2 linked regions of the Lytechinus pictus genome follow. The main gene of each other region encodes a partner of the protein of the gene in region 2 in a complex. Links are inferred from orthologs where the notes say so. Each region holds a gene or a part of one and is shown on either strand. Other genes may lie near its edges.

What was found. Proteins that work in one complex are often made in the same cells at the same time.
Region 1: the proteins of origin recognition complex subunit 2-like (region 2) and origin recognition complex subunit 5-like are in contact, whole or in part, in a crystal structure (PDB 4XGC), measured with the Drosophila melanogaster proteins. The link is inferred for Lytechinus pictus from reciprocal best matches to the Drosophila melanogaster genes Orc2 and Orc5. Residues at the interface, in NP_731873.1 of Drosophila melanogaster: Asp438, Arg443, His468, Asn470, Thr471, Pro472, Leu473, Leu474, Trp475, Asp476, Gln477, Leu480, Trp487, Ser521, Ser524, Glu564; in NP_477132.1 of Drosophila melanogaster: Lys169, Ile382, Cys401, Asn402, Leu404, Ser405, Ile407, Ser408, Thr409, His412, Asn424, Ile425, Met426, Glu427.

Annotation. Positions count from the first base shown.
Region 1 is NC_087247.1:38,510,324-38,517,734, reverse strand, and holds the start of origin recognition complex subunit 5-like, read right to left. Parts: upstream 3,008-7,411; 5' UTR 2,779-3,007; intron 1-2,778. UniProt on the Drosophila melanogaster protein: Component of the origin recognition complex (ORC) that binds origins of replication. DNA-binding is ATP-dependent, however specific DNA sequences that define origins of replication have not been identified so far.
Region 2 is NW_026974140.1:18,890,143-18,897,487, reverse strand, and holds the start of origin recognition complex subunit 2-like, read left to right. Parts: upstream 1-4,323; 5' UTR 4,324-4,386; coding exon 4,387-4,525; intron 4,526-7,345. UniProt on the Drosophila melanogaster protein: Component of the origin recognition complex (ORC) that binds origins of replication. DNA-binding is ATP-dependent, however specific DNA sequences that define origins of replication have not been identified so far.

The sequences.
Region 1 (7,411 bases), on a different chromosome or scaffold from region 2:
TTTGTCAATTCACAGTCCAAAGTTTGATGTAATTTTACACATCGAATTTACAATCTAAGGATGTATAACCAACAAACTTTTAAAACTTGATATTTAATTATCAAAATACTTTAAACGATATAGATGAAAAAGGCATGAAAAATATACTTTACCGATGTTTAATTGGGTTGAACACGATAAAAATGGTCAAAATGGCAGCCAAACTATAAAATATTACAAACGAACGTCAACAATCACGAATGTGATATCGATATTGCTTTCGATATTATACGATCTGCTCCATATGCGAACGAAATCGAAGATAAACGATACTAGTTATACTAGTACTAGTACTAGTTATAATCGCGATATATCGATTCGAGACATTAAGTTAATAACGATAATGACGTCATTCAAGATGGCAACTTGCAAGAAAAACCGTCAGGTCAGGTGAAAATGTCTTAGATGACAGATTTCTCAATCATCCAGAGGATTTTTTTCAATAACTCCGGCCCAAGGTATGCAATTACTTAAGTTATTTATATTTCCCTGATAATGGAAACCATGAAACTTTCAATTTTGCTTAAAAAACAGTTTAAAATCTCGATCTATAAAACGCTAGTTCACTATACGTTGGCTGTAGGTACGGGGCCCCATCCCCTTCAGTCTATGTATGGTGAGTGGAGCCAACGTAGTTCAGCGGAACAACCAAAATACAGAGACTGAAGCTTTTGGTCTAACCGCAGGGTAGTGTGCTCGGGCCAACCCTCTTTGTTATGTATGTAAACGATCTGCCAGACGTTACTTCAAGCTCTACGCTATTATATGCTGATGACGCTAAGATTTATGCCAGAGTACCAAACCCTGACTGTAGTCAATCACTGCAAGATGATTTGAATGGCATTGAGAAATGGTCACTCTCATGGCAGCTTCCTCTGAACTCTGATAAATGTAAGACTCTTTATATAGGAAATAACAATATCCATCGTTCATACTCTAACGTTTTATGGATAATCGTTCACTGGTTGATGTCAACTGTGAAAGGGATCTTGGTGTTCTTATTGATGATAGTGAACTCACATTTCATCAACATGTATCTGCATCTATCCAAAAAGCTAACCAAATGTTGGGCATCATCAAACGTGCATTTGTGAACATTAAACCGGATATATTTCTGCCCCTGTAGGCTGTACAAGGCTCTTGTTCGACCACATTTGGAGTATTGTAGTGTTGTGTGGAGCCCTAGATTCATCACCGATGACAGAAGAATTGAATCTGTACAACGTAGAGCAACAAGACTATTTCCAGGATTTAACTCCTTATCTTATGAGTGACTGAAAGACTTGTTAGACTGAATCTGTACTCCTTACATTACCGCAGAGAATGAGGGGACATGATACAAAATTACAACAAGTATTTAAAATATTACATGGTATAGGAGATAGAGTCGACACAGAATCCCTCTTCATGAGGTCTCATACTAGTATCAGGGAACAAGAGGTCATCCCTTCAAACTGTTCACAACTCACTGTCGGTTGAATGCCCGCAGCAGCTTTTTCAGTAAAAGAGTGATTCAATCCTGGAATAGTTTGCCTGCAACACTAGTATTATAATGTCCTCCAGCATCAACTCATTATTATTTTAAACACGGATTAGATTCTTTTTGGTCAAGCAAACATTTTGAAATTGTCTGACATCCACGCCCGCGCGCACTGAACTTAGAGTTAGACTTAGAGTAACCCAGAGAGCTCCCGCCCGCGCAGCGGGCGGGAGCCCAGAAGCTTACCGTGTATTTGACCATATTCACCGGACTAGGGTGATTTATGGTCTAAATATTTCTCCAAATGAATTGTGGAAACAGAAAGTATACAATTACCACGATTATATGGATGAAGGTCTAACGAGTGGCAGTTTCCTGACATCTGGGCACAGACTGGAACCTCAAAAAAACGAAAAGTTCTCTCCTTCTACCCCCGTTTCGATCGGCCATTTTTGTTAAAAATCGTAACAAAATGGCCGATCGAGACTGGGGTAGAGGACAGAACTTTTCGGTTTTTTTAGGTTCCAGTCTGTGCCCAGATGTCAGGAAACTGCCACTCGTTAGACCTTCATCCATATAATCGTGGTAATTGTATACTTTCTGTTTTCACAATTCATTTGGAGAAATATTTAGACCATAAATCACCCTAGTCCGCTGAATATGGTCAAATACACGGTAAGCTTCTGGGCTCCCGCCCGCGCAGCGGGCGGGAGCTCTCTGGGTTAGACTTAGACCAAAAGCTTCAGTCTCTGTTATGTTGGTTGTTCAGCTGAACTCCGTTGGCTTCACTCACCAAATACAGAGACCGAAGTTCTAGCGCGATCTGTACAGGGGACTCAATGGCCATATGTTTATGTACTTAAGAGCGGATAAAACGGGGAAGTGAATTTGCGCGACAGCCGAGATAAGTCACTGTTTTTGTTTCTTTTAACTTGATTTTTCTCTGTTTTTTGGCAATTAATGCCAAGAGGGAATATTAATTTGCATTTTGGTCGCGTTAATTTTCAAAAATTTTATTTATTAAAGACAAAAATTGAAGAGCCCCGACGGGGGGATTTTGCATTGCAAGTCCCCTAATGGTGGCTGCACGATAGCGAGCCGTCTGTGTATGAGGAGAAATTAAAAAAATAAAAAAATGTTAAAAAACTCCTCGAAACAGACGGCTGCCAGCTGTCTAGGTTAGACTTAGAGTAGACTTTAATTATGCATCAAGTGTTTACGACCGGGAGATCTACAGGACTATATAGTATATTACCTACCCTCCCGTACAGATGATGATGATGATGATGGAAAGATGTCAGATCTGACAACTTGTCGGATGAAAATATTGATGAAACGCTCCCCCGGTATACCGTATTACCGTAATATAATGTGTGTGCCGCTCTAGCTCTAGCTCTCGATCGACCTCGGCCGCGCTCACAATCAAATGGCGCGCCACGGTACCGAGTATATAGTACGGTACGAGGCTCTGGCTAGCGCTAGTGCTGATTTGGCTGGCTATATGGGGCCGATTGCACGAAAGGGTCTTTCCAAGGACCGTCTTTCGTGTCGCCCATATTTTATGATACGCCATGTGAAACGCATTTCAAATAAATTATCTGCAAATATATTTTATTTGTCCGTCAAAATAAACAAAATATTTGTATATAAAATGATGTGATATCCCATGAAATTGTATAAAATTTGATTTAAAAGCAAGCTTACGAATTTTATTTGTTTATCATAAATTTCCGAATCGCCCCGCTTATAGCGCATCATAAAAGATGGGCGACACGAAAGACGGTCCTTGGAAAGACCCTTTCGTGCAATCGCCCCCTGCTCTGCGCATATTGCTTCCTAGGGCCGATTGCACGAAAGGGTCTTTCCAAGGACCGTCTTTCGTGTCGCCCATCTTTTATGATGCGCTATAAGCGGGGTGTTTCTGAAATTTATGATAAACAAATAAAATTCGTAAGCTTGCTTTTAAATCAAATTTTATACAATTTCATGAGATATCACATCATTTTATAAACAAATATATTGTTTAATTTAACGGACAAATAAAATATATTTGCAGATAATTTATTTGAAATGCGTTTCACATGGCGTATCATAAAAGATGGGCGACACGAAAGACGGTCCTTGGAAAGACCCTTTCGTGCAATCGGCCCCTAGTTTTTAGGCTAGGCGGAAGTACCGTACGCATACGGGCGGTGCATGCACGAGAAGACTGTCTCTCCACATCCGAAGCCAATGATTGTCTAACATTTGCTGTTTGATTTATCTAACTTCGAAGTTCCAGCTAGGGTAATTGTTGGTGATAATTGAGGAGAAGGAATTAATAAGAAAGGTAAACAAATACCACACTGAAACTACCGTAAATGATTGAGGTACCAGTGTCGGCAGTGATCTACTCTCACTCAACAATCAAGTACCGGTACCGTATATAGAATATACTCCGACCGTGATTTCGCTCATGTGATACGTAAGTATATGTGTCACGGAATCGTGGTTATACACACTCACCTGCGTGCGAAAGGAATTGCACACGCTGTAAATAAAGACGGACTCCTGAGGGGAAGTTATTGACTCGGGCTCCATCGATGTATTCAAATTAATTATTAAAGGGATGGTCCGGGCTGGAAATATTTATATCTTAATACATAGAATATAATTCACTGAGAAAAATGCCGGAAATTTCATCAAAATCGGACAACAAATAATAAGTTATTGAAGTTTAAATAAAGTTTAGCAATATAAAATAATAATTTTGTGAAAACAGTCGTCATGAATATTTATTAATAATATTAGGTGGGCTGATGATGTCACATCCCCATTTTCCGTTTTCTTACGTTATTACATAAAGGCAAAATCGTGATATAGGCCCCGCTCGAGAAAAACTTGTAATCGATTATACTACCTCAATATCTAGGTTGCTAACTTCAGCTCACTATATATACTCGTGATATAGGCCCCGCTGCTGTGTTGAATAGCTTAGAATGTCAGTTTGCGGGGCCTGTTTCACGAGTATAGTACTATAACCGTTATATAGGCCCCGCACTACGGCACTTCAGACACTCCAACACAGTAGCGGGGCCTATATATCACGAGTATATAATAAGCTTGCATCCTAAGATAGTCGCGAAACTGGCCCCGTCCAATGCGCTTGTCCCAGCATTCGCACGTGTGTGGGGCTCGGATGACGGCTATAGTAGTATACTCGTTATCGAGGCCCCTTACGCTGTTATATAATGGAAAATAACGTGGTCGTGGGGCTTGTTTCCCCTGCCGGTGAGAATTATCATGGGCGGCGCTGTAGGGGGGAGGGGGGCCCTTCAATTTATTTTCCAAATAAACAAGGAAAGAATATCATGGGCGGCGCTGCAGGAGGCGGGGGGGGGGCTCCAATTTATTTTCCAAATAAACAATTAAGGAGATATAATAATTTACTTCTTCAGAAATTTATTTGTCGATTTATTTATATTTATTCATTAATCATTTAATTCATTTGTTTTCAGTTATTTTTTTCTTTTGTGATATAGAGAGTCAGAGTTAGGTATCATTCGTTTTTAATTCTTTTTATGTGTGGAAGTTCATTTAATTTATTTATCAATCTATTTTAATTGTTTAATTAATGTATTTATATTTATTCATTAATCATTGTGATATAGAGAGTCAGAGTTAGGTATCATTCGCTTTTAATTCTTTTTATGTGTGGAAGTTCATTTAATTTATTTATCAATCTATTTTAATTGTTTGATTAATGTATTTATATTTATTCATTAATCATTTAATTTATTTGTTATATTTTCATCTTTTTGTTATCTGAGGTCTTATGTTGATACAGGGCCATACATTTCATTTATTTTTCATTTATTTCTATTCATTCTGTAAGTTATAATGGCTATACAAAATGAAGACGGCACTCATTGTAAAGCTTAGAATATCTTCTCTTTCACCTGGTATCCTTAGAAGATTCCTCGATCATTCAGGCATGAATGACTTTGAAAATTTGAAGAAAGTATAATCTGAATTTAAAAATTATCGTTTACCTTCTTTGAATTAGTCGTAGTTGAAGGGTGTTATAACCTTATTTTTCGTTACATAAAAGGAATTTATATTTTGTTTAAAGGTCAAGTTCACCCCAGAAAAAATGTTGATTTGAATAAATAGAGATATATCAAACTAGCATAACGCTGGAAATTTCATCTAAATCGGATGTAAAATAAGAAAGTTGTGATATTTTTAAAGTTTCGCTTATTTTTCACAAAAAAGTGATATAGGCCCTATATGCACAACTCATTTGCATGCAAATGATACAGTTCCGGCCTCGCTATTTTTTTTTTTTTAATTATACAATATTTCATTTTTCACATTTTTTACAATAAGGGCCAACGTGAATGAACCATATGTTCAGGGAGAAATTGTTGCACTTGACAATGAGAAGAAAATGGGAGAATATCATATTTCATATAATACAATACTAAAGAAATAGTGAGTGGATGGCGTCATCAGTTTCCTCATTTGCATACCGACCTGGATGTGCATATGTAACTATTATTTCAAATTAAACTAAACTTCAAAATGTGATAACTTTCTTATTTTATCTGATTTTGATGAAATTTTCAGCGTTATGATCGTTTGATTTTCCTCTTTTTATTCAAATCAACTTTTTTGTTGGGGTGGACTTGTCCTTTAAATTAAACAATTGATGTATTTGTTTGTATTAAACTTTTTGTTTTATTTGATGTAAGACCAACCATTATCGTTAATTTCTCTTTTTACTTATGGATTTGATCTCTCTGTATACCATATATTATTATATATATAAACAAATATATTTTGTTACCTCACTGAAGCCAATACGTGAAACGTTAGAGAGAGAGAGAGTGGGAGAGAGAGGCTTAATGCATCACTATTTCAAGTTCTCCTTCGTATTGTTTAACTTATTCATTTCCTGGTTTATTCATATATTCATTTATTCGTTCACGTTTGCACTGTTTGGGGAAAAAATGTTGTCTATTAATTGACACGAATGGCCTACCCTTAAAGGGGGCAGTTTACCCTGACGCAAAGTTGATGATAATTAAAGCAGAAACATAGAAAAATATTCTTAAACTAAACGTTTGATGAAAATATATATTTTGTTGATTGTCACGCACTTCGGTTAAGAAGTTCGATATTCTCTAATCAAATATTGTCATTCTCATACTTAAATTAGTTTTTATCATATGAAATAGTACTCTACTCATTTATGTAATGAATGTCTTGCTAAGATCAATTGTGAATGTCACTTTCACTTGCCCAGTAACCTGCACAATCAAGGTACTAATGGATAATTTGTTTTTCTGTTCCAATCATGTAGAAGCGGAAACGGAAATCAGCCCCTTAGTTTGGTTTTTGAAAACACAAAAACGAAATCACAACGAGAAAAACGTGTTGTGATTTGGCATTTGTATATAAAAAAACAATGAAATTAGAAATACTTTTGTGCTTTATCTGGTTTCTCATTCTAAATTTGTGTTTATATATATAAAAAAAAACAATATCAGAACATGCCACGATTCATGACCTCACTGTCAACTAAGAATGTACGATGCAACTGCATGACAAACAGCGCCTATAGAATTGTTGGATGTCGCCTAGCAACAGGGTGCTATGTAAGTGGTAATTAAACTACATGTAAATCAATGTAAAATAATGATATTTACAGATGAAGTAAAGTGTTGAACAAGATGCCCCCCCCCCCCCTCTCTCACTCCTACATGTCAGCAGTGCTTAAAAACATACCCTTTTCGTGTCGATATATATCAACAAACTTCATCTCGAACTTCGATCGCATTCGCATCCTATTTTCAAGTGTGAAAAAAATTCAGCTCGCGCTCCTCTTTCATATCCTGTTCATGCGTCACT
Region 2 (7,345 bases):
TCCCAACTTGGTGGATACAACCCTAATAAAAGCCACCATTGTTATCAGTACTACTGTATTACTGAGGGCTCTGATATCTTGATTGTTTATCAGGAAAGAGAATTATATTTTAAGATGTAGGAGTGTAGATACCATTATAAAAAAAGGCACTACCTTACTGTGCACTAGCTGGCTCTGTAAGAGAAGTGATGTGATCCTATTGAAGAAAACACTGTAGAAAATTATCACCATTATGGGTAATTTTCTGATTAAATATGAAGAAAGAAGATTTGATACATTTCATATTAGGTACAAGAAAGAAGAATCACTAAATAGAAATATTAGTACATTGATAAAATATTGATGGGAGTTATGATCAATGAGCTTGAAGGTAAAAAAAATAAGATAAATGATGAAACATGTTTGTGATCAGAAAGCACTCTAAATTAAGTTTGCATAATCATCATTTTTCAGGGATGCATTTCTATCAAATTTTTGAAAACTTCATTTTTATTCTTATTTTGTAGTGTAACAAAATATCTTTGTTATACTTTTGTCAAGATTGTTATTATGATATACTTGTTATATCTAGATCCCAATCCACATCTGTGTGCTTCCATTACATTGGTGGCTGCATTTTGCTATTTTTGCATAGTGATTGACATGAACCAAAGATAAATGCCAGTTATGGTAATGATTTCAAAAGTATTTTGTATGGAATCCAATCATATGCCCCCCCCCCCATTGTCCTTTTTCAAAATTCAAAAATATGTGACAAAGGATTGTGGGAGAAATTGTGTAATTACTGAGAAATTAGCAAAATAAACATGGAATACGAGCAGATTGTCAGGTTTTTCCAAGCAATAATACATTGTCCCACATGTGACAAAGGATTGTGGGAGAAATTGTGTAATTAATGAGAAATGAGCAAAATAAGCATGGAATACGAGCAGATTGTCAGGTTTTTCCAAGCAATAATACATTGTCCCACATGTGCTTATCTGTGTTGGTGATCTACAGTGTAAGATTTCATAATTTCTCAAAGTTAAGTTTTCTATCATATCTAGATCCACAATGATATAGTGACAATTAACCTTGGTTTCGCAGACTTTCTCATGAAATCAGTGTTTACTGCTGCAACTACTTTGTTTATCTTGAATGACTTTTGGTCTGACATAGCTGTTAACTGGGGTTGAACTCATGACCTCCCAGTTGTGTAACTTCAGACAAGATTCACAATTCTATGACAAAGATCTCTCAACCAATGAAATGGCATATATCAAAAGTTTGCAGTTTGATTTTAATAACAAGTTTTATGAAAGAGAGCTTAGGGCCAGGTTTTCATAAGCCAATGCACGAATTTGATGAAATACGGTTATCAAAAGAAATTTATTTGATTCTATGAAAAGGGGAATGTGCTGGTATGTTGCGTTAACAGATTTAGTATTATATATATATATATATATATTTATTTTATTAATCATCATGAAATGTTTACACTTTATGATCAGATCAAATAATTGAAAATATGCAATAAATATCACTTGTATAGATTCATGCAAGGAACTTATTGCTCAGTTCCAGGAGGGGGGGGGGGTGTAATGAGTCACTCCCTCCTCTCACTTTAAGAGTATGACATCACGTATCTTTACCAAGATAATCATTAACCCTAATCCAGCGGGGGGGGGGGGGTGAATCAGCCTCGACATTTTCCATGACCATTCCTCTGCACCAAATTTTTGACCGCACCGATCGCTGACATTTTACTTTAAAGTCTTGCGCATCTTTTGAGACCAAATTTATGATGCCCGGGTATGCGGTACGATAATTACACAACATTATGTAAGTGCATGTCAGACCCAAAATTGCTCCAAAACGTAATTTTTTGTACAAAGTCAATGTAAATTGAATTTTCTCACCTTATTCACTTTTATCAGCTAAAATTAATTGATTTTAGCATAATTATGCTTTAAAAAGGTTCTGAAAAACAAAAGGTCGAACAACAAAAAAATACATAAGAAATTCATAAAACAATGAAATAAATAGTAAATTCATTTTCAAACCAAGATTTTTATTAATTTGTGATTGTTAGCAATGGTATAAAGAATATTTACACCAAAAATTAGCATTCTATGAGCTTTTTATAGTGAATTAGAGCAAAAAGTATGACTTAGCCTGGTCTGGTTAGGGCTAAATCAAATGTAGGATCAGCTGATTTTGTGAGGTCTCCTAAGTAAATACAGGAATATATCAATGTAAGTGTGCTCCCAAACAAAAAAAGACATGCTCCAAGCAGAAATCAAACTTAACTTTGCTTTAATGTCATTTAAAAAAAAAGAATTTCTTTTCTTAATTGCGGTTTCAGTGAATGAGACAAACTATCACTTCCTTGGCAAGATGGATAAATGTCATCTTTCCTTAGCTCTGTTCAGTAAGATAATATGGAAATGATATATTGTCTTATCATTTTCACCAAGGATGATTATTAACTTTTTGTCCTCTAAGGAGGTCCATAGAGCAGCCATTTTGGAGGAGAACAATGAAAACCTGTGCATTCAACTAAGATCAGTGGTTGCTTTTATGGATAGTGCACATGTTTCCCATTGTTATGTCCTCCATGGTGACGTCATGTGGCAACCCCCTCTATAGGCTTCTGTGCTGAAGAATTAGCCTTGATAAACATACCTTTTGATAAAGTAATAGAAAAGGATTTAGTATGAACTCTGTCATTATTTATAATGGCCACATGATCCATTGGAAATTAGGAAGGTTATAGGAGTGCTTTTTAATCCTTTTGTTCCTAATTGGCAATTATTTTTGCTTGTGAAAGGCCCTATGATAATTAAAAAAATAAGCTTATGATTTTGGTAACATTTTAATGGGCATATTCAATCTCGCTCATATATTAAAATTGAGCATTCTGATGAGGAATCAGTTTGCCGAGATCATGAATGGGCATTGATGATATTGAAAGTTGTTTCATTAAGCTGTTTCTCATCTAAAGGCTGCGTTACGAACCACTGGGATCCTTTCTTAGGAACTGAATCAACACTAATGGAAATCTGGTGCGTTTCATTTACCACAAGAAAGAATCACCAGTCATTCATTAAGTCGATCATTGCTTGAACAGCTTTATGAAAAACCCAACTGAGTATGACATATCATGTTTAATTCAAACCTTCTTTGGTGCTGACCCTGGGTGCCGACAGTGGTTAGCTTGTAATGATTCCAGTATTTTGGGGGGGGGGGGGTAAAACTCTCTTTTGATGAACTTCAAGAATGAAGATTATACCATATTAACAGAGAAAAGTGGTCTTTTTTTATTAGATTTTGTGCAATTCTGTATTTATCTTAAACATGAAATGAAATTTATTTAATTTACTTCTATTTATTTTATTTTTTTCCAAATTAATTGGCAATTTTTGCTTAAAGATTGCTCTTTGAAATGAAATAAGTGGAATATTAGGATGTTCAGTCAATTAACAGTAAGAGCTAGAGAATTAACATGTATACCTCAGCTGTCGTGTTATTTTTTTACATCTAAAGAACCCTTGACTCAACTAGGTGGTCACTGATGTAATAAAAACCATATTTAAAACAAAAATATGTTTTTGGTACTGGGTGTCTTTTATTTGAATTGTGATATGCATTACATCTAAACATTTGGAAGAAGTATAATGTATAAATCAAAATAAACCCAAAGTGGTTACCCTGAACTGCTGAAATGTGAAGATCAAGATGGGGTAAGCAGAATATAGAGAGGAGAGGTACATGTATAAGGAGAGAGTGGGAAATAGGGGGAGATGGGGGGTAGAGGTCAGGGAAAGGGGGATCATGGAAAGATAGAGAGACTGGTGTGGTGAATAGAGAGTGGTGGAATACAAGCGGGGAAGGGAGTGAGAGAGGTATAGATCGAGAAGAGATATCACAATAGGAAGCCGGGATATGACAAATACAACTGAAGAGATAGAGACAAATGATGAAGTGAGCCGGGAAGGGAGGGAGAGCATTATGGGGGGATGGTATATTAGCTGTGAGACGTCATAGCTTGAAGTGGATGAGATTTCATAAACTTAACTTGAAGTAATGTATAGCTTTTGCTGCTGGAGTATGGTATATAGTGCTGAAAAAGCAACCCCTTTTTTCTGAAAGACGTCTACGATGCCTTGGTGCCAACCCCCCCCCCCCCCAGAACCTTATTATATTTTCCACAATTTTCTGCTTTTTAATCAACTTGATGAACGCCATAGAGATATTTATTATAATTATTACATGTATTATCTATGGTGGTCGCCTCCCAAAATTTTGCCAAATGGTATTTGCAAAGTCAAAGCCACCACCACTCACAACAACGTGCGCGAAAACTCAAATTTCGTAGAAGATAGCCGGCCATCAGGCATCACAATCATGGATAAATCGAAACTTAGATCCAAGTCTACGCCTAAATCTGCTCATAAAAAGTCTAAACAGCGTATGTCGAAGGGAATATCTGTGATGTTTGTCGGTAATGATGATGTTATGCACCACATAATGGAAGAAGCTTCAGGTAATTCAACATTCATCTTTGTTCGGGACCCAAATTTAATGACGCACCCTAGTCCCACTTATCCAATTTGGTGAAGTTTAAAGGGCCATGATATTAACCCAGGGAACTCCCGACGCTGCGCGGGCGGGAGCCCAGGAGCTTACCGTGTATTTGACCATACTCACGGGACTAGCGTGATTTATGGTCTAAATATTTCTCCAAATGAATTGTGAAAACAGAAAGTATACAATTACCACGATTATAATATATGGATGAAGGTCTAACGAGTGGCAGATTCCTGACATCTGGGCACAGTCTGGAACCTCAAAAAAAACGAAAAGTTCTCTCCTTCTACCCCGTCTCGATCGGCCATTTTTGTTAAAAATCGTAACAAAATGGCCGATCGAGACTGGGTAGAAGGAGAGAACTTTTCGTTTTTTTGAGGTTCCAGATGTCAGGAATCTGCCACTCGTTAGACCTTCATCCATATAATCGTGGTAATTGGATACTTTCCGTTTTCACAATTCATTTGGAGAAATATTTAGACCATAAATCACCCTAGTCCGGTGACAATGGTAAAATACACGGTAAGCTTCTGGGCTCCCGCCCGCTGCGCGGGCGGGAGCTCTCTGGGTTAGTGATGGCTCAGACTGGGAAAACTTTAGGAATATAAGGAAAGATACTCACAAATTGACAAAGTCTGCATATAGGAAACACATAATTAAGAGACTTCTGTTTAGAGTCAAAGAAACAATTTTGGTCCTTCGTAAAAAGTCTTAGGAAAGACTCTTCGGGTATTCTAGAACTAAAAGACAAGGAAAAAGGTATTCTCTTCTCTGAGAACAGCCGGAAAGCTGAGATCCTTAATGATCAGTTTCGCTCAGTTTTCACGACTGAAAACCTGCAGACATTACCAAACTTCCCTCCTTGTAATATTCCCGGCATAAGTAACATAACCATTCACACCCCCGGTATTGAAAAACTCCTAAGGAATCTAGACCCTAAGAAAGCAACTGGGGTGGATGAAATATACCTCCTCGTATTCTTAAGGAATTTTCCCATGAAGTTGCGCCAATTCTTGCCAAAATATTTCAAGCTTCTGTTAACTCAGGACAGTTACCTGAAGATTGGCGTAAAGCCAATGTCACTCCCATCCACAAAAAAGGAGATCGTACAAAACCCGAAAACTATAGGCCTGTATCTCTCACTTCTGTTTGTTGTAAGATATAAGAACATGTGGTACATACCCATGTGATGAACCATCTTGAATCATACAATATTCTTAATAAAAGTCAACATGGTTTCAGAAAACTACATTCCTGCGAAACACAGCTCATACAAACCATGCATGACCTCTCTCTTTCTTTTGACAAACGGACCCAGACTGACATAATAATAACCGACTTTTCTAAGGCTTTCGACACTGTGCCCCATCAACGACTCCTCCTCAAACTCAAGCAATATGGTATTAATGGGAAGATTAATCAGTGGATCTCATCTTTTCTACAGAATAGATACCAGAGAGTAGTATTAGGGGGGGAATATTCACAATGGGTTAAGGTACAGTCAGGCGTCCCGCAGGGCACAGTGCTCGGACCCTTATTGTTTATTATCTATGTAAATGACCTACCAGACGGCTTGACCTCAACTGTACGACTTTACGCGGACGACTGCATCATATACTCTAACATCAAAACACAAAATGACGCTACTAGACTACAGAATGACCTGGACAAACTTTCTGCATGGGAAAATAAGTGGCAAATGAAACTTAACCCAGAGAAATGTTTTGTTCTTAGGATAACTTCTTCTAGATCACCTTTCACAACCAAATATAACTTGGGTGGCGTAGATCTACAGGAAACCACCCACCATTCATATCTTGGTGTCAATATCTCGCAAGATCTTAAATGGGACAAGCATATTTTCAAAATCACAACTTCTGCAAATAAAGTCAACGGCTTTATTAAACGTAACTTGCCATCATGCACAAAACTCACAAAAGCTACAGCTTACATAACTTTAGTCCGACCGATCTTAGAGTATAGTTCTAGCGTTTGGGACCCATATACAAAAGAGCATATTTATGAAATTGGTAAGGTGCAAAGAAGGGCAGCCAGAATGGTTTGTAGTGACTATAGGCAAACCACCAGTGCTACAAAACTAATGCAGGGGTTAGGATGGGATCTCCTTTCAACAAGAAGGAAAGTTTCGAGGATTGGTATACTGCACAAGGCCTTGGGGGGGCACCTGGCCCTGCCGGTGTCGGACTATCTACGTCCAGCGACTCGAGCTACCAGACGTACATCCGGAAGATCTTTCATCCAGTGCTCAACTCGCACCAATTGTTTTAAGAACTCATATATTCCACGCACCATCAAGGACTGGAATTCTTTACCCCCCGACATCCAATCAATTTCAGTCTCTGATAATTTTGAAACACAGGCAACCATATACTTTCGCAACAAAGACTTAAGCAACAAGGACTAAGAAGAAACAAAGTGCGCACTCCCATTTCCTCCTCGGGTGGTTCCTGTAATAGGAACGTTGAGGAGTATCACCAAGAAGAAGAAATATTTCTCCAAATGAATTGTGAAAACAGAAATTATGCACTTACCACGATTATATGGATGAAGGTCTAACGAGTGGCAGTTTCCTGACAACGAGGCACAGACTGGAACTTCAAAAAAACGAAACGTTCTCTCCTACCCCAGTCTCGATCGGCCATTTTGTTACGATTCATAACAAAAATGGCCGATCGAGACGGGGGTAGAAGGAGAGAACTTTTCGTTTTTTTGAAGTTCCAGTCTGTGCCTCGATGTCAGGAAACTGCCACTCGTT